Xenopus tropicalis: one gene and its partner. The protein of the gene in region 2 binds, or shares a complex with, the protein of the main gene of each other region. Links are inferred from orthologs where the notes say so. Each region holds a gene or a part of one and is shown on either strand. Other genes may lie near its edges. The genes, in order: hmox1 and por.

Region 1 (7,272 bases), on a different chromosome or scaffold from region 2:
TAATTTGTAACAACAAAAGGACTAAAAATATTCAATTCAACAGCCTGCCAGAAAGGCGAAAGGTCAAGGATCCATGTAAAAACAATAAGATTGTACTTTCATCAGGATGCAAAAACTGAAGCCTTCTGATGAAAGTCCCAGTGGGGACTGAAACGTTGAGGCTTGCTATGTTTATTTTGCTCTTTTTTTCTCAATAAATATCATTTTATATACATTTGTATGAAACCCTGTGTGTGCTGGCATTACTCCTGCAATATTTTAGTTTATATGGCTCTTGCACCCAGGTTGTATTTTTTGTTAGTGGTGTGCACCATTATGATCTCTGTAGTGTATGTGTATATATATATATATATATATATATATATATATATATATAATATTTTGTATATACCAAGGCAGCAAGTCAAAAAGGTCCTAAATGGTGACCAAAACATTGACAAATAAATAATTGGTCTACATATTGCTTTAAGACAGCACCCAGGCACACAAGCTTTGAAAGAAAAAAAAAAAAAACTTTTTTCTTCACATATTAAAACCGGTAAACAAATATCTGCCAGGTTTACGTTTCCTGTAATTGATGTGGTCCTCGATCCGCTGGCCTGCATAGCTGCAGTTCTAACCCTGCAAAGGATTGAATCAACCTAATATTGCCCTCCTCAGTGAAAGATCCACTTGTTTGGTGACCTTGCCAAATGAGCAGGTCCTAACGTGTGTGGCCAGCTTTACAATTAATCGTATAGTTTATAATGTCAGTTGACAAAATTTAACTAAATTGACATACCATTTTCTGTCTTGTGTCCTCTGCTTCTTAATTCTGTTGCCTCGGTCCTGTTCTGAGATGCTGCTAGTGACAGGGTCTGCAGTTCTTCAAACACCTGAGATCATAGTGTAGGTACATAAAACATTTAGAATGTAGACTCTTGCAGTGAGGGCTCTAGGATCCCTAAGAAAGCTGTATCCTATGGCAGCATTTTAATGTTTAACAATTTGTGTGCCATAGAATGTACAATCTACACAGCTGACACAGAAGAACCTGCATATCAGCACTGTAGATTTTACACAGAATAGCAGTTACTTCCAACTGTTGTATTTTAATTAAATAATATTTAAATATTTTAGCCTCTTACCTTGATATTAAGCAGGAATGCTGTCTTAGCTTCCTCTAATATCCTATTCATGTTATGTGTATTCATTTCAATGGAGTTCATACGGGAACGGTAAAGCTGTTTAAATTTAGTTGCATTAGTGACATTGTCAAAAGTAAAAAATGCTAAACCTTCACCACTGGCTGGAAGCTGCAGGGCCTTTTGGGCAATTTTTTTAAGAACCTGTCCGCCCGAGAGGTCTCCTAAATAACGGGTATAGGCATGAGACACTAGCAGCTCTGGCTCATTTTGCCCAACCTGGTGAAGTCTGTCAACATAATTTTTTGTTGAACGAGGACAAATAATTTTCTTCCTCCATTGCGGACCATAGAAATACTCAAGGTCTTCTTCTAGGGCATTTTTACGATGGAGTTCCATGGGGAAATAAACAGGAGAAAAGACTGGATTGTCCTTATTTCTATTAATCTCTTCCTCCAGAGCTTCATAGATGAAGTACAACGAGGACATGACCAGCTGGAAACATAAAAAATGCCACAATTAATATTTATGTATTTTGTAATTGTCAGCCTTTAAATTAGTATTACAATAGAACTACCAGTTTACATTTTATCAGAGGACTAGAAAAAGTGGTGTAAAATCTGGGACAATGTAAAATCAGGGAAATGCATTATATATTGGCGAGACCCCCCAAAAAACAATGTTAAATGGGGAAAAATGTAAAAACGGTGGATGTAAAAGTTGTATGACAGCACACAAAACTGTGGGAAATCGCATACTTGACCCCAGTATACTACTACATAGCAATATTCTGAATGTATGCTGAAATTCATGTGAAACGTACACAATTGTTGATGTTCTAAACACATGGTTACATTTTATCCTGGAGAGCCATAGGTAGAACATAACCATATTAATTTAGGTATATACTGTAGTATTTGGTGATAATTTTTTTTTACAGAACTAACAAGAGGATATCCCTGGGTTTCAGGCCAAAGGTGCACTGATCACTAATTCTTCAGTACCACTTTTACTTTAAAGAGAGTGTCAGTCTCATAAACTTGAAAAATAAACTGTTAATCCAAATAAAGTATCACCTAGTACTAATGTTTGAACATCTGAAGTTGTATACGTGTCCCTCCATGTAGAAATTCAGCTTTATACAGTACCTTGAACTCCTCTAGGGAAACTTGTCCTTTCTGGAAGTTCCTCATGAACTCTGTGTTTTCTGCCTGAACATGGACCTCCTTTGTCGCCTCTTTTAAGGCCTCAGACAAGTCTTTAAGGGAACTAAAAAAAAAGAACAAGAGGTAAATTAATCCACTGTTTCCAAAGAGATATAAAAAAAATTTGTTATGCCTGACTTAATGTAAGGCCATCTGTTAGAAAATGCGCAAGCAAGTCTTGAATGTGATGTATTAAGAAAACTATAACAAATCACAGTATACGTTGTTTCCTAATAAAGCCCATAATATGAAAAGTCAACATATTTATATTTTAAATAATATGGGTTAATTTTCACATTTAATGTATCTCTCCTAGTTAGAGTAACATATCTGATTAGCATTAGGATGGCACTTCCATTGGCACTAAAGGAATTAACTAATGCTTTGTGCATTTGAGACGTGTGAGGGTGGACAGATTGCTCTCATCTAACTGTTTGGACTATGGACAGAAGGGACGCATGAGGCGGGCTATTCCCTTAGTAGCTTGTAGGCCAGTGACCTTTGGTCATATTTGGCTTTGCAGTTTAAAGGGATACTGTTGTGATTTTTATGGTGTACTTGTTATTTCTAAATTACACTGTTTACATAGCAAATAATTCACTCTACCATTTAAAATGTTATTCTTGAACCACAAATTTATTTTTTTAGCTGTAATATTGGTGTGTAGGCGCCATCTTAGTCCACTGTGCCTGATTTGGATTTCTTACTATATCTTCTGGGAGCAGCTATCTTGCTCCCTTCCCATTGTTCTACTGATTGGCTGCTGGGAGGTGGGTGATATCACTCCAACTTTCCACTCAGCAGTAAAGTGTGACTGAAGTTTATCAGAGCACAGGTCACATGGCTGTAGCACTGTGGGAAATGAAGCATATGGCTAGCCCCACGTGAAATTTCAAAATTATATATAAAAAAAATATGTTTCCATTTTTAAAAAACTGATTTCAATGCAGGATTCTGCTGGAGAAGTGCTATTAACTGATGTGTTTTGAAACCACCTTGATTCCTTGATTTTAAAAGAAAGAAAGCAGCATAAACATTGTGAACAATCATTTGAGAACTGTTGTATAAGTTAAACATTGTTTGACTTATTGCTGCTAGTAAAACTTCTAGATCACATGTGTCAAACACAAGGCCCGTGGGCCAAATACGGCCTGCCTGGCTGTTTTATGTGGCCCATAGTAACTGTGCCTGACTGTGCAGCACCAATCGCCTGACTGCGCTGTGACTGAGATGGATCTATGCTTCTACTACCAAGTATCTTAATAAAAAATTTGACCTGTGACTTAGCCTGTATTTTAGATTTCTGCCCCCTTATGTGATTGAGTTTGACACCCCTGCTAGAGCTTTAAAGCTTATGCAAAACATGTTAAAATGTTTGAATATGGCCTTGCAAGGCTACATATAAGCAAACAAATATGACTGCTGTAAGCTAAACAAACAGTACAGTCTCCCCTGAGACATGTGGCATGAGTAATATATCAAAAGGTGTAACGTTTGCAACTGGTCTTGTGAATCATACTGAGCAATAAGTATGTAGAATTTACCGGTTAGCAGATTGAAAATTACATTAGATTGGTTATTATACTTTGGTTTCATTGTTTTTCCTAAAATACAGAGCTCAGAGAACTGTTTTTTAGGTTAGTTAATCTTAATTGAAGTAAAAGCATATCATCATTACAGTATAACAGCAGTTGGTAAGGGCTGGGCTGTCCTCCTTCTAGTGATAAAATAGCAATTTAGGCCAATGCCATTAGTGCTTGTCTGTTTCGATGAGGGACTCAAGCTCTCGGGGCTTAAAGGAGATTTTACATTGCCATCTGCTACATATTTATCATATTGCGTGTATTCATATTAACAAGCTGTAACTAGAGAACACATGGTATTAAGCAAATTATGAGACCGGTCCATTGCTTAAAACACTACCAAAAATTTTTTATCACAAGTCAATATCACTTGTGTGTGGATGTCAGCTTGCATGTATGAAAAATGACCTGTCTCTCACAAATATACGGTAATGTACAGGGCATGGGGCACATTCTGTGATGCCATGTTATTTATATAAAGCAACCATATACAGTATTGCTGTTACTTATACTATACCTGCAGTCCTAATCACAGTTTCCTAGTAGCTGTTTTCCGTACTACTTTACAAGCTCTGGGCTTGTTAAGATAAGATGTTGAATAGATGGAGCAAATATGTGATGTGTTTTAGTATTTTTCCCACCCTCCCAGCATATGCATATTACTTTTAAGCCTTAATAGGAGCATATATATGTTTAACTCAGAATTTGGTGGTAAAACAATATATGTGCGAATGCCTGTGAATGGACAGAACACAGATATCTAATTCTACATAATATATTTCAGGCATTTAGACAAGGTAATGAGTATTAAGGTGGTACCTTTTGAGTTGTTGGCTAGCAGAAGAATCCATCTCTTTTTCCTTTGTGTGCAACTTCTAGCTTAATGTTCCAAGCCGCTGGCTGTTTAGTTACTGAGTCAAAGCTGCTCCCTTTTTATATGCCTCTTGTTTCCCTTCTAGGATCACGTGGCTGTAGGACAAAAAAAAAAAAAAAAAAGAAGCTGAGTGAGTGTTTCCTCCAGGAGGGAGGGGGTGGGGGGAAGAGGAGCAAAGTAGAGGGGGGCAGGGGTGAGGGGAACATAACAGGATGTGTTCATTTTTCAGATTCACATGATTTTGGATTCAAAATGATAAAGACAAAACAGCAGAACAAAACATCAGCACAGAAAAAAGTATATTTACCAGTGAAGGTGGGTACAGCAGCAGCTCACATTTAAACTTTCACTTTAAACTTTGGTTGCGCTTCCTCCTGCAGCCACATCATTTTTACCATAATTTGTTAAGTTTTCATTTACAACATGCAAGGACAAGAAGGGTGTATAAATTGCAGAGACAACAGTTCTGGGTGTGAGGATTAACAAGGGCCCTTAAAGGTTTTGACTAAAAGTAAAGCAGAGATGTAACTATCTGGCAGATCTTGAAAAACCACTGTAGCATCAGGATGCCTGAAAGGTTGCACATGTGACAGTCAAAGGCAGGTTCATAGCTTGCCCCCCCCCCCCCCCCAGCCATGTTTCCACTTGTAAATTTCTTGTTGTCGCTTGGGCCCCTGAAGGAGAAAAGACCATTTTTTGTACTTTCCTGAATCTCACTGCCCCCTCTTCCCATTACTCCACTAGTCAGAAGCAGCATCTGTTCATATACTTGTTCATATATTTGCCCTGGGTCTGGATCAGGACCAGAAATAAAACACAGAATAGTGTTGTAGAGCCACAGCCCCAGTGTAGGATTATTTTGCAATTAGCCTGTTATTCTGGCATCTGTTTGCACTCTGGGCACATGAGCAAGTGGCATGACAAGCAGTGCACAGACGTTGCACACTGGAGTAATCCACCCAGTGTGTGCACAATGTAACAATGGTAACAGTTTGTTATTGGTTCCATTTCACTATGTGCTGACTAATAGAATTGATTACCTTACAATATTGGCAGGCCTAAACACTTGTCACATCACATTCATGAACAAAAATGCGATACTTGTCACAGACATGATACAGAAGAGAACAAACAAAAGTAATCTATACCAAGAACTGCGCGTTGTCGGTGACTAATAGATAGATGCCTTTTGCACAATGCAGTTCTTTCTCACTGCTTCATGAAGCTTCCAGCTGGCTGTGCTTTCACTTCCTCACCCCCCTCCCTCACAGCCCCCCCCCCCCACCAACCACACACACACAGCATATGACCATGACACAGCAAAATCTCAACATGGAGCTGGAGAGGGTAAACATGACTCAGCAGTGCAATCTGGCTTTCTGCTAAATAACTGATGCACTCTTTTGGGTTTGCCTTGTTTTACGTTATAATGCATGACTGGCTTTATGGAGCAATAACTTTGAAAAGGAAAATTTACAAAATATATATTTTTAAAATGTTGTTCATTATGCATTTTAAAGATAGTCTTAAAGAACAAGGAAGGCATTATTCACTGGGGTGCCAATTTGATAGGGATCAGTGAATAAAATGGAGCTGAAATCATGATGTGGCATTTTCTAACATTTAGCTGGTGTGTTTTTTTTTACAGAAAAAGGAGTACCTACCTGGGGAAGTGAATTTGGCTTTCTTTTGCCTGTAGCTAGAGCTACATTCCTGGGATGTACATTTCCCAGGGATTTTTTTTCAACAGGTAATTATATGACCAGCCTCAAATCCTTTTCCCTATTATGCCCCAACCATGTCCTTAGTTATGCCAAAAATTATTTATAAATCTAAGAGACAGAAAGTACTGGTTGAAATCCCTGCCTATTAAAAAACTGAGAATGATTTAAAAGATATGAATGGTTATTTCCCCAACCCCATTTTTCTCTCTTCAGTATTGTGTGTTTTCTCTTATAACCTATATGACCTATAAATGCTACATGCTAATTGTTGCCTTAGGCAAACAGCACATGTACCATAGTTACATAGTTAAGATGGGTTGAAAAAATTACAAATTCAACCCCTCTAAGTGAACCCCAGTGCATATATATTAAGGATGCACCGAATCCAGCATTTGGTTCGGTATTCGGCCTACAGTCCTGGCCGAACTGAATCCAATCCACTCTAATTAGGATTCGGATCTGGTTCAGTATTCAGCCAAATCCCTTAACAGGGATTGGGGCATTCAGCCGAACCCAAAAAACTGGGTTTGGGGCATCCCTAATATATATACTTATACAGACCTATCTATACACTCGTATATAACATAGTAATGTAGAAAAAAGACACACGTCAATTACGTTCAACCATAATGCCTATACATAACCTGCCTAACTGCTAGTTGATCCAGGGCGAGGCAAAATCAGACCAGTCCCTGGGTAAACTTGTACTATGAGCTATCTTCCATAAGCCTGTATTTCCTCACTTTCTAAAAAGCCATCCAA
Region 2 (6,598 bases):
CATGCCTTAGGCTTAGGGTATAATGACATTGGCGGTAGGTCATCTTTATTAAATGTAGCACAAGATAGTAGCTCACATTCAGTCACTGCACTTCATTGGATCTCAAAGACCCCTGCCTCCACCTTGGGTACCTGGGTACTTTTCTTACAGCATATAGCTACTACGGTCATAAGATACTGATTTATTGATGTACCTATGTAAAGGTATAAGGGCTTTAAGGTTTGTTTGGTTTTTTTTATACTTATTTAGTTATTTTATTATTTTTGGTGTTGTTGTGAGCAATAATTTACAGTTTGTTTTTTGCCATATAGGATTACCCAAGTCTTTTCAACAAGGCATATTGCTCACCTTTCCATCTTGTGCTGAGGAGGCCATCTTGCGCAGGTTTTCTTGCTCCTTGGAGTCAGTGGCATACTGTGCTAGTTCATAAAGCACATTGGTCCGGGGTGGATTGGTAATGTCCAAGTAGTAAGTGAGGGCAGTACGATATGTGGTAGGACAGGGGAAAGGGTGCTTTTTGTTAGACTCCTCTGCAAAAAGCAAATAAGGGCATGGAAAGGTTTTAAATAAACTTAAAAAAAAAGTTCTACACATAACACACAAACTTTGCTTAAGTCCTAAAACAGTGCGACTCCCCTCACATTTGATTAAAACCAAGACCAATGCAAATTTTTTTTGCTGCACAATAATTTGAAAGCAGAGCAGCGATGCAGACAAAATGCCTGCAAAATTTGGGAGCAATGTAGATGGTAGAAAAATTTCCTGGATTTGGGAGCAATCAAAATGTTGCAGCACCTTCATGGTACTATGACTTCAAGAATAATGTATATTTTTACTACAATATCATTTTGTGAACTGGCTTCTAATGTAGTGTTAAATGTGTCAGACTGGGTGAGACAAACCACAAGCAGTTGGTAGAACTCACCATCCAGGTTGTTCAGAGAAATCACAGTTTCAAGGTCTGCTCCCAGGATCTCTCCCAACTTGTTTACGAGCGCAGCATCATTTGCTGGGTACACAGCCACATGATCTCCCGACTCATATCTAAGGTTTAGCAAGTACAAATTGGGGGAAATTATTTCCAAGAGACACAATTAGTTGTCACATTTGTAAAGTGACCTGTTTATGGTTTTTATGAGAATGTGTATCACTTTAAAAGCTTGGGGGTTTTCAGATGAGCAAGTGCACTTTCTGCTTGTACAGACCGGCTACGTTCATTTCATCACTATTTGCCGATATAAGCATCAAGAGCCAAAGTCTTTATTAGCTGGTTTCTGCTTAGTCATGCAGAACACACGTTCCTGGTGAACTGGACAAAGTGCTCCCTGATAGAGAAAGCTACATATTTACAATATTCAGGGAATCCTAAGCCACTGTGTGCTTCAAAAAATGCATAACAGAGCCCAAACTGTTGACCATTTGCAAGGTAATTATCAAGAACACATCCAAGCTTAGTGATTCTCAAACCTTTTTAGGGAGATCCAACCACCCAACATGCTTCCTGGCCCTCTAATAAATATATTTCATGTGCATGTTTGGCTTAACAACTGCATTCCTGCTCTGTGCTGGTGGCCAGCATTAAAGTGGTACTGGCACTAAAAAACACTTGAAATAATTAATGTACACAAAAGTTACCTACAGAACATGATGATCGATTTTCACTGATAGGGCTGCTTTTGTAAATAATTGTTACTTGTAGTTCCTAAACTCGACTGTCCTTACTCAACCTGTCAGTTATAGCTACTGACTACTGCTGCACAAATATGGCGGCCCCCTCAGACAAACTTGGGGGGGGGGGGGGAGAATCTGTTAGGTAATGTAAAAGCACCAGGAAGTACATGTTTGGCAAAATTATAAAGCTCCCGCAAACAACAATGTTAAGGTATATTTAAAAAATACTTTAATTTTAAGTGTCGGTATCACTTTAAATGTGGCCCTCTACCTGTATTTTGTAAACGTGTCCCTAACATATCCCTCACATATGTGAAATATCAGTTTCCTGGCTAAACCCTGTCATTATTAAGTACACATTTCCACATTATATGTATAGAAGTTGTACAACAATTTACAGTTCAATGTACTAAGGTACAGAGAGAACAAAACAGGAACAGAATACATCTTGTAAAAACATGTTCACTTGACAAAGTTCTATTGAAATACAAGGTAGTACATTTTAAATTTAAAACATAAGTGGTAAATGATCTGCTACTGAGAAGAAGAAGTTTCAGAGAAGGCAAAGACTGAGAATTAACATGAAATTGCTTCCCTTTATAAAGAAGTGTATGGGAAGTTTTAGGTTTCATTCCACTTAAATAAAAGCTACCATAAACTGCAAAAGTAAAGACTGGTAGTTCTTCAATTTATGGCAAACAAGACATTTTCAGAGCAAAAATGCAATGTAAATGTCATTGAACCTCAATGAATTATGGTATACGCTCATGAGGATTGTTGGTACAGATAAAAATGCCTAGGCATACAGAAAAATCACTATAGACCCACAATAGTCCCACATTACCTTATCTTTGAGCCAGTGATATCTAGTTCCAAATGCATGAAATGTCGGTCTCCACCCTCATTAAGTTTGCGGTTAACTGTTGCATTAGCCAGAAAAGGATTTTTAGCATCAAAAGGTCTGCAACAAGGATAAAAAAAAATGTAAGTTAAACCGCTGAATGCCTTTACTGCCACTGCACAGATTCCATCTTAAAGAATTTTATGAAGGCACACATTAAAATGTGAGTTTTGAACCAGACCCTAGCGGTCAGAGTGTTCAAAATGCACTTTTTTGTCATCAAAATTTGTCATCAAAAGCAGCAGGGGTTGTACAGTATCTTACATAGTTACATAGGGCTGAAAAAAGACCAGAGTCCATCAAGTTCAACCCATCCAAGTAAACCCAGCACACACAACCCACACCCACCAATCTATACACCCACATACATAAACTATATATACAACCACTAATACTAACTGTAGATATTAGTATCACAATAGCCTTAGATATTCTGATTGTTCAAGAACTCATCCAGGCCTGGACTACTTACGGTTTTTGAGTTTCATAGCTCTTTAGTCGACCCATCTCTCCTGTGTACACCTTGTTCATATTCTCATCTGTGTGCACCACAAGTTCATATTGACGAATGCTAAAGGTCAAACAAATATTAGAGTTTGATGGTTTAATTTATAAATGAAACTAAGCAAGTGGGTGGCATTTAGGATAATTTAAATCTGACTACTAATGAACCAGACTGTTCTAAACCCTTAATTTTACTAGTCACCTACCGGTTTCATAGAAAGAAATCTAGAGACAACTTCCTTGCCATGTTTTTTTAGCAAAGCAAAACAGAACAGATCTGCTCATCACTAACAACCTAGCCCATACATTTTTACTACTGTATTTGAATTAGGTTACATAAAAAACAACAATATAAAAAAATAACATATGCTTATGATCAGGGCTGTGGAGTCGGAGTCGAGGAGTTGGAGTCAATTTTGGGTACCTGGAGTCGGAAAAAAATGAACCGACTCCGACTAAATTTAAATGGGAATAAAAAAAATAAAAAAAAATAAAGCAAGTTTAAATGTCCCAATTCACAAACAGTCATAATTAATTACTTCTCTGCTATAAGAATAAAGCCCAATGCACACAGTGCATAAACGAACACGTTGAGTGACCATGAAGCTTTTCATTGACTATATGCTTCACTAAATGGGACGTAACACACAGTTAAGGTGCGGCAGCTCCACTGCGTCGTGTTCCTCTGTTACAGGGAGCACAATGCCCACTGGGAACCTAGCCTAACTCTCACTGATAACTAATTAAGTAAAAAAAAAATTGCAGGACTAGAAATACTTGTATACGTGAAGGGAATGGATGGATAGTCAATAGTTTAAGACTGAAGTTTTAAAACATTTGAAAAACTGCTGTAATACAGCTGTAAGGTTAGCTTAAAGGAACAGTAACACTAAAAAATAATGTTTTAAAATAAATTAAAATATAATGTACTGTTGCCCTGCACTGATAACAGATAAGTAGCAGATTCCCATTGTATTCTACACAGTTTATCTGGTATCTTCTTATGTAACCTGTGCCTTTTCTCCTTTTTTCAATTTAAATGGCTGCCCCCATGGCTACACAGCAGGGTATTTATATAAACTGCAGTAGTGTTTATGAAGAAATCACACAACTTTTACCAGTGCAGAGCAATAGTATATAATATATTAATTATTTTTATACACTTTCATTTTTTGGTGTTACTGTTCCTTTAAACATGACTATGGGATTCTAGGGAAATCATTAGGAGTATAGATAAAATTGTCTATCAGTTTATTATCAGTTCAGTTGTGTTTTAAGTGCCCCTTCCTGGATGTATAAAATACATTAGCATATTAAAAACAGAGGAGTCGGAAGTATCAGAAACTGAGGAGTCGGAGAATGTATCTACCGACTCCACAGCCCAGCTTATGATATACACTTTCTAATTCCAGTTACAATTACTAGAGCCATAGATGGATAAATAAGCAATAACAAAGATGCACAGCATATTTCTGAATTTTTTCAGGGCTGGTACAGACAGTTGCATACCTGGAATCTTCTCCAGTTGCCTCAACTCCAAAGTGTTCACAAACTGCAGGCCAGAACTGCTCCCTCCATGTGATAAAGTCTTCTTCCAGGCTGAGTAAAATTTAGAAATATATATCATGGTTTGTTTTAGAAAGCAAGTATAAAATTAAGTGAATATTCACAGTAAAGCTATCCAGAAATATTTAGATATTTCATGAGTACTACAGAGGTTCCATAAGCACTGTGCTTTCCGTTGAGCCCAGCACAGTAACATCATTGCAAAAAGACAGAAAGTACCCTAAACAAGGAGGATTTTGATAGGAGAAGCCTCCTGAGTAAGGAACAGACTAATGCAGGCCCTATCAAGATCCATCTCTTCTTGGTAAATTAACAGGTTTGCAAAACCAGCTACTATAATGTAAGTTGAAAAAATGCCCACAAAAGTATTTCACTCTACTGTAGAAGTCACTTGAACAGTGCATTGCAGTACCATTGATGTGGAAAGGCACTAACTAAAAGCATCTGTTTAAGTGAAAAGGGTTGGCATATTTCACGCACAGTGGTGTGCACATACAGAAGTACAGCAGTTATAGTACAGTAATCAGTTTGATTCTTGACCCTACTATTACTAAATCACAGAAGGCTTTCTAGCTTAAGCCTTGGTGGTGCATAATGGTTGACACTGTACCAACAAACCTCAGTCAATGTGCTCTAGGCATTTACCAATCAAGAGATGTTTTGAGAAAGGTAGAAATGTTTCATGCCTCTTTTTTTTTTCTACTTACTTGCCATCATCGTCTCCCATTCCAAGCTCAAAAATGCGCTCAGCTCCTAATTCTTCAAGTCTTTTGTCAACATATTTTCCCATGGCATTAAAGTGCTCATATGTCTTGTTGCCAAGGCCAAAAACCTACAAAACATTAAAGAAAAAAAACCCAAAGTTTAGCACCAATCTATAATTATGTGTATCCATAACAGATTAAAGAAATACCAGAACCTAATGCAGGCTTTCAACATATACCTTGCACTGAACTAAAATAGCAGAACTAAAATCACTACTAATGAACTAACACCTTTTATCAACAATTAATACATGTATTCCTTATCCAACAGATAATGAACAAATGCATTTAGAGAGACTGATAAATGCTATTTTACTATGAACATTTTAAATTGTGCTTGCCTGAGAGTGCTAACATTACTCACTGCATACTTAAGTCCTGCAAGGTCAATGTCTGTTTCCTGAAGCCAGTCATAGAAATCCTGAGCATTATCTGTAGGATCACCTTCACCATAAGTGGCCATGCAGAAAACAGCAAGAGCGTTCTCAATTTCTGTGAGACGACTGAGATCTGTCTGCAGGGGAGAAAAAAGTGAGCATAGATTAATCTTTTATATAGGCCTCATGTGCACATCTTGGCCTTCTAGAGTCTGAATGCCTTCAATTCTCCAGTATGTTTAAATAGTGGATGACACAGATATAGTCAGTGTGGCTGGGCATCCATAAATAATGAACTATAAATAAGCTAGCAAGGTACTGGCTTTTGTAGTAAGATATATTAGAAGTTCAAAGAGCAAGTTAGGACTCCACCTTACAAATCCACCAGTACTGTATTATTCAACTCTGGATAAAAATCTTCTCCAAAAGGATATCAACAGTCACTACTCAGAAGGCTGATCTCTACACTATATAAACGGCAAGAGGTATGGGGTAAATGCTAAATAAGACCTGCTGTCAATAACAATAAAAGGTATACAACACATTCATTTCAGCAATGTATACAAAAGATATCTATGCAAGACCTTTGATAAAATTACAAAGCAAGGCTTACATTTTTCCCCCAGGATTTAGTTCCTTTAGCCAAGAACAATACAATCCTTAAAAAGCTTTGATAGGATACAGCCTTCCCAGTTAGTATTGCAAATCAATTTGTCACCAACTCGTCTGGCTTTTCACTAGTATAAGCGGTTGCTATGAATGAATCTTGGGAATGCAGCTCCACTCATTAACTTTGCATCTGAGCGTTTCTTTCT

What was found.
Region 1: the proteins of por (region 2) and hmox1 are in contact, whole or in part, in a crystal structure (PDB 3WKT), measured with the Rattus norvegicus proteins. The link is inferred for Xenopus tropicalis from reciprocal best matches to the Homo sapiens genes POR and HMOX1. Residues at the interface, in NP_113764.1 of Rattus norvegicus: Thr88, Thr177, Asp208, Asp209, Arg313, Arg514, Lys515, Gln517, Arg519, Leu520, Phe522, Lys523, His626, Lys665, Met667, Thr668, Lys669, Gly670, Tyr672; in NP_036712.1 of Rattus norvegicus: Asp12, Ser14, Glu15, Gln38, Ala75, Pro76, Glu81, Lys149, Ile150, Lys153, Ser171, Asp173, Asn174, Thr176, Lys177, Phe178, Lys179, Gln180, Leu181, Arg183, Ala184, Arg185, Asn187, Thr188.

What each region holds. Positions count from the first base shown.
Region 1 is NC_030680.2:115,578,049-115,585,320, reverse strand, and holds the start of hmox1 (heme oxygenase 1), read right to left. Parts: upstream 4,854-7,272; 5' UTR 4,764-4,853; coding exon 4,732-4,763; intron 2,394-4,731; coding exon 2,273-2,393; intron 1,620-2,272; coding exon 1,128-1,619; intron 876-1,127; coding exon 782-875; intron 1-781.
Region 2 is NC_030678.2:93,774,604-93,781,201, forward strand, and holds part of por (NADPH--cytochrome P450 reductase), read right to left. Parts: intron 5,921-6,598; coding exon 5,771-5,920; intron 5,475-5,770; coding exon 5,350-5,474; intron 4,676-5,349; coding exon 4,586-4,675; intron 3,144-4,585; coding exon 3,045-3,143; intron 2,633-3,044; coding exon 2,516-2,632; intron 1,045-2,515; coding exon 926-1,044; intron 531-925; coding exon 349-530; intron 1-348. UniProt on the Homo sapiens protein: This enzyme is required for electron transfer from NADP to cytochrome P450 in microsomes. It can also provide electron transfer to heme oxygenase and cytochrome B5.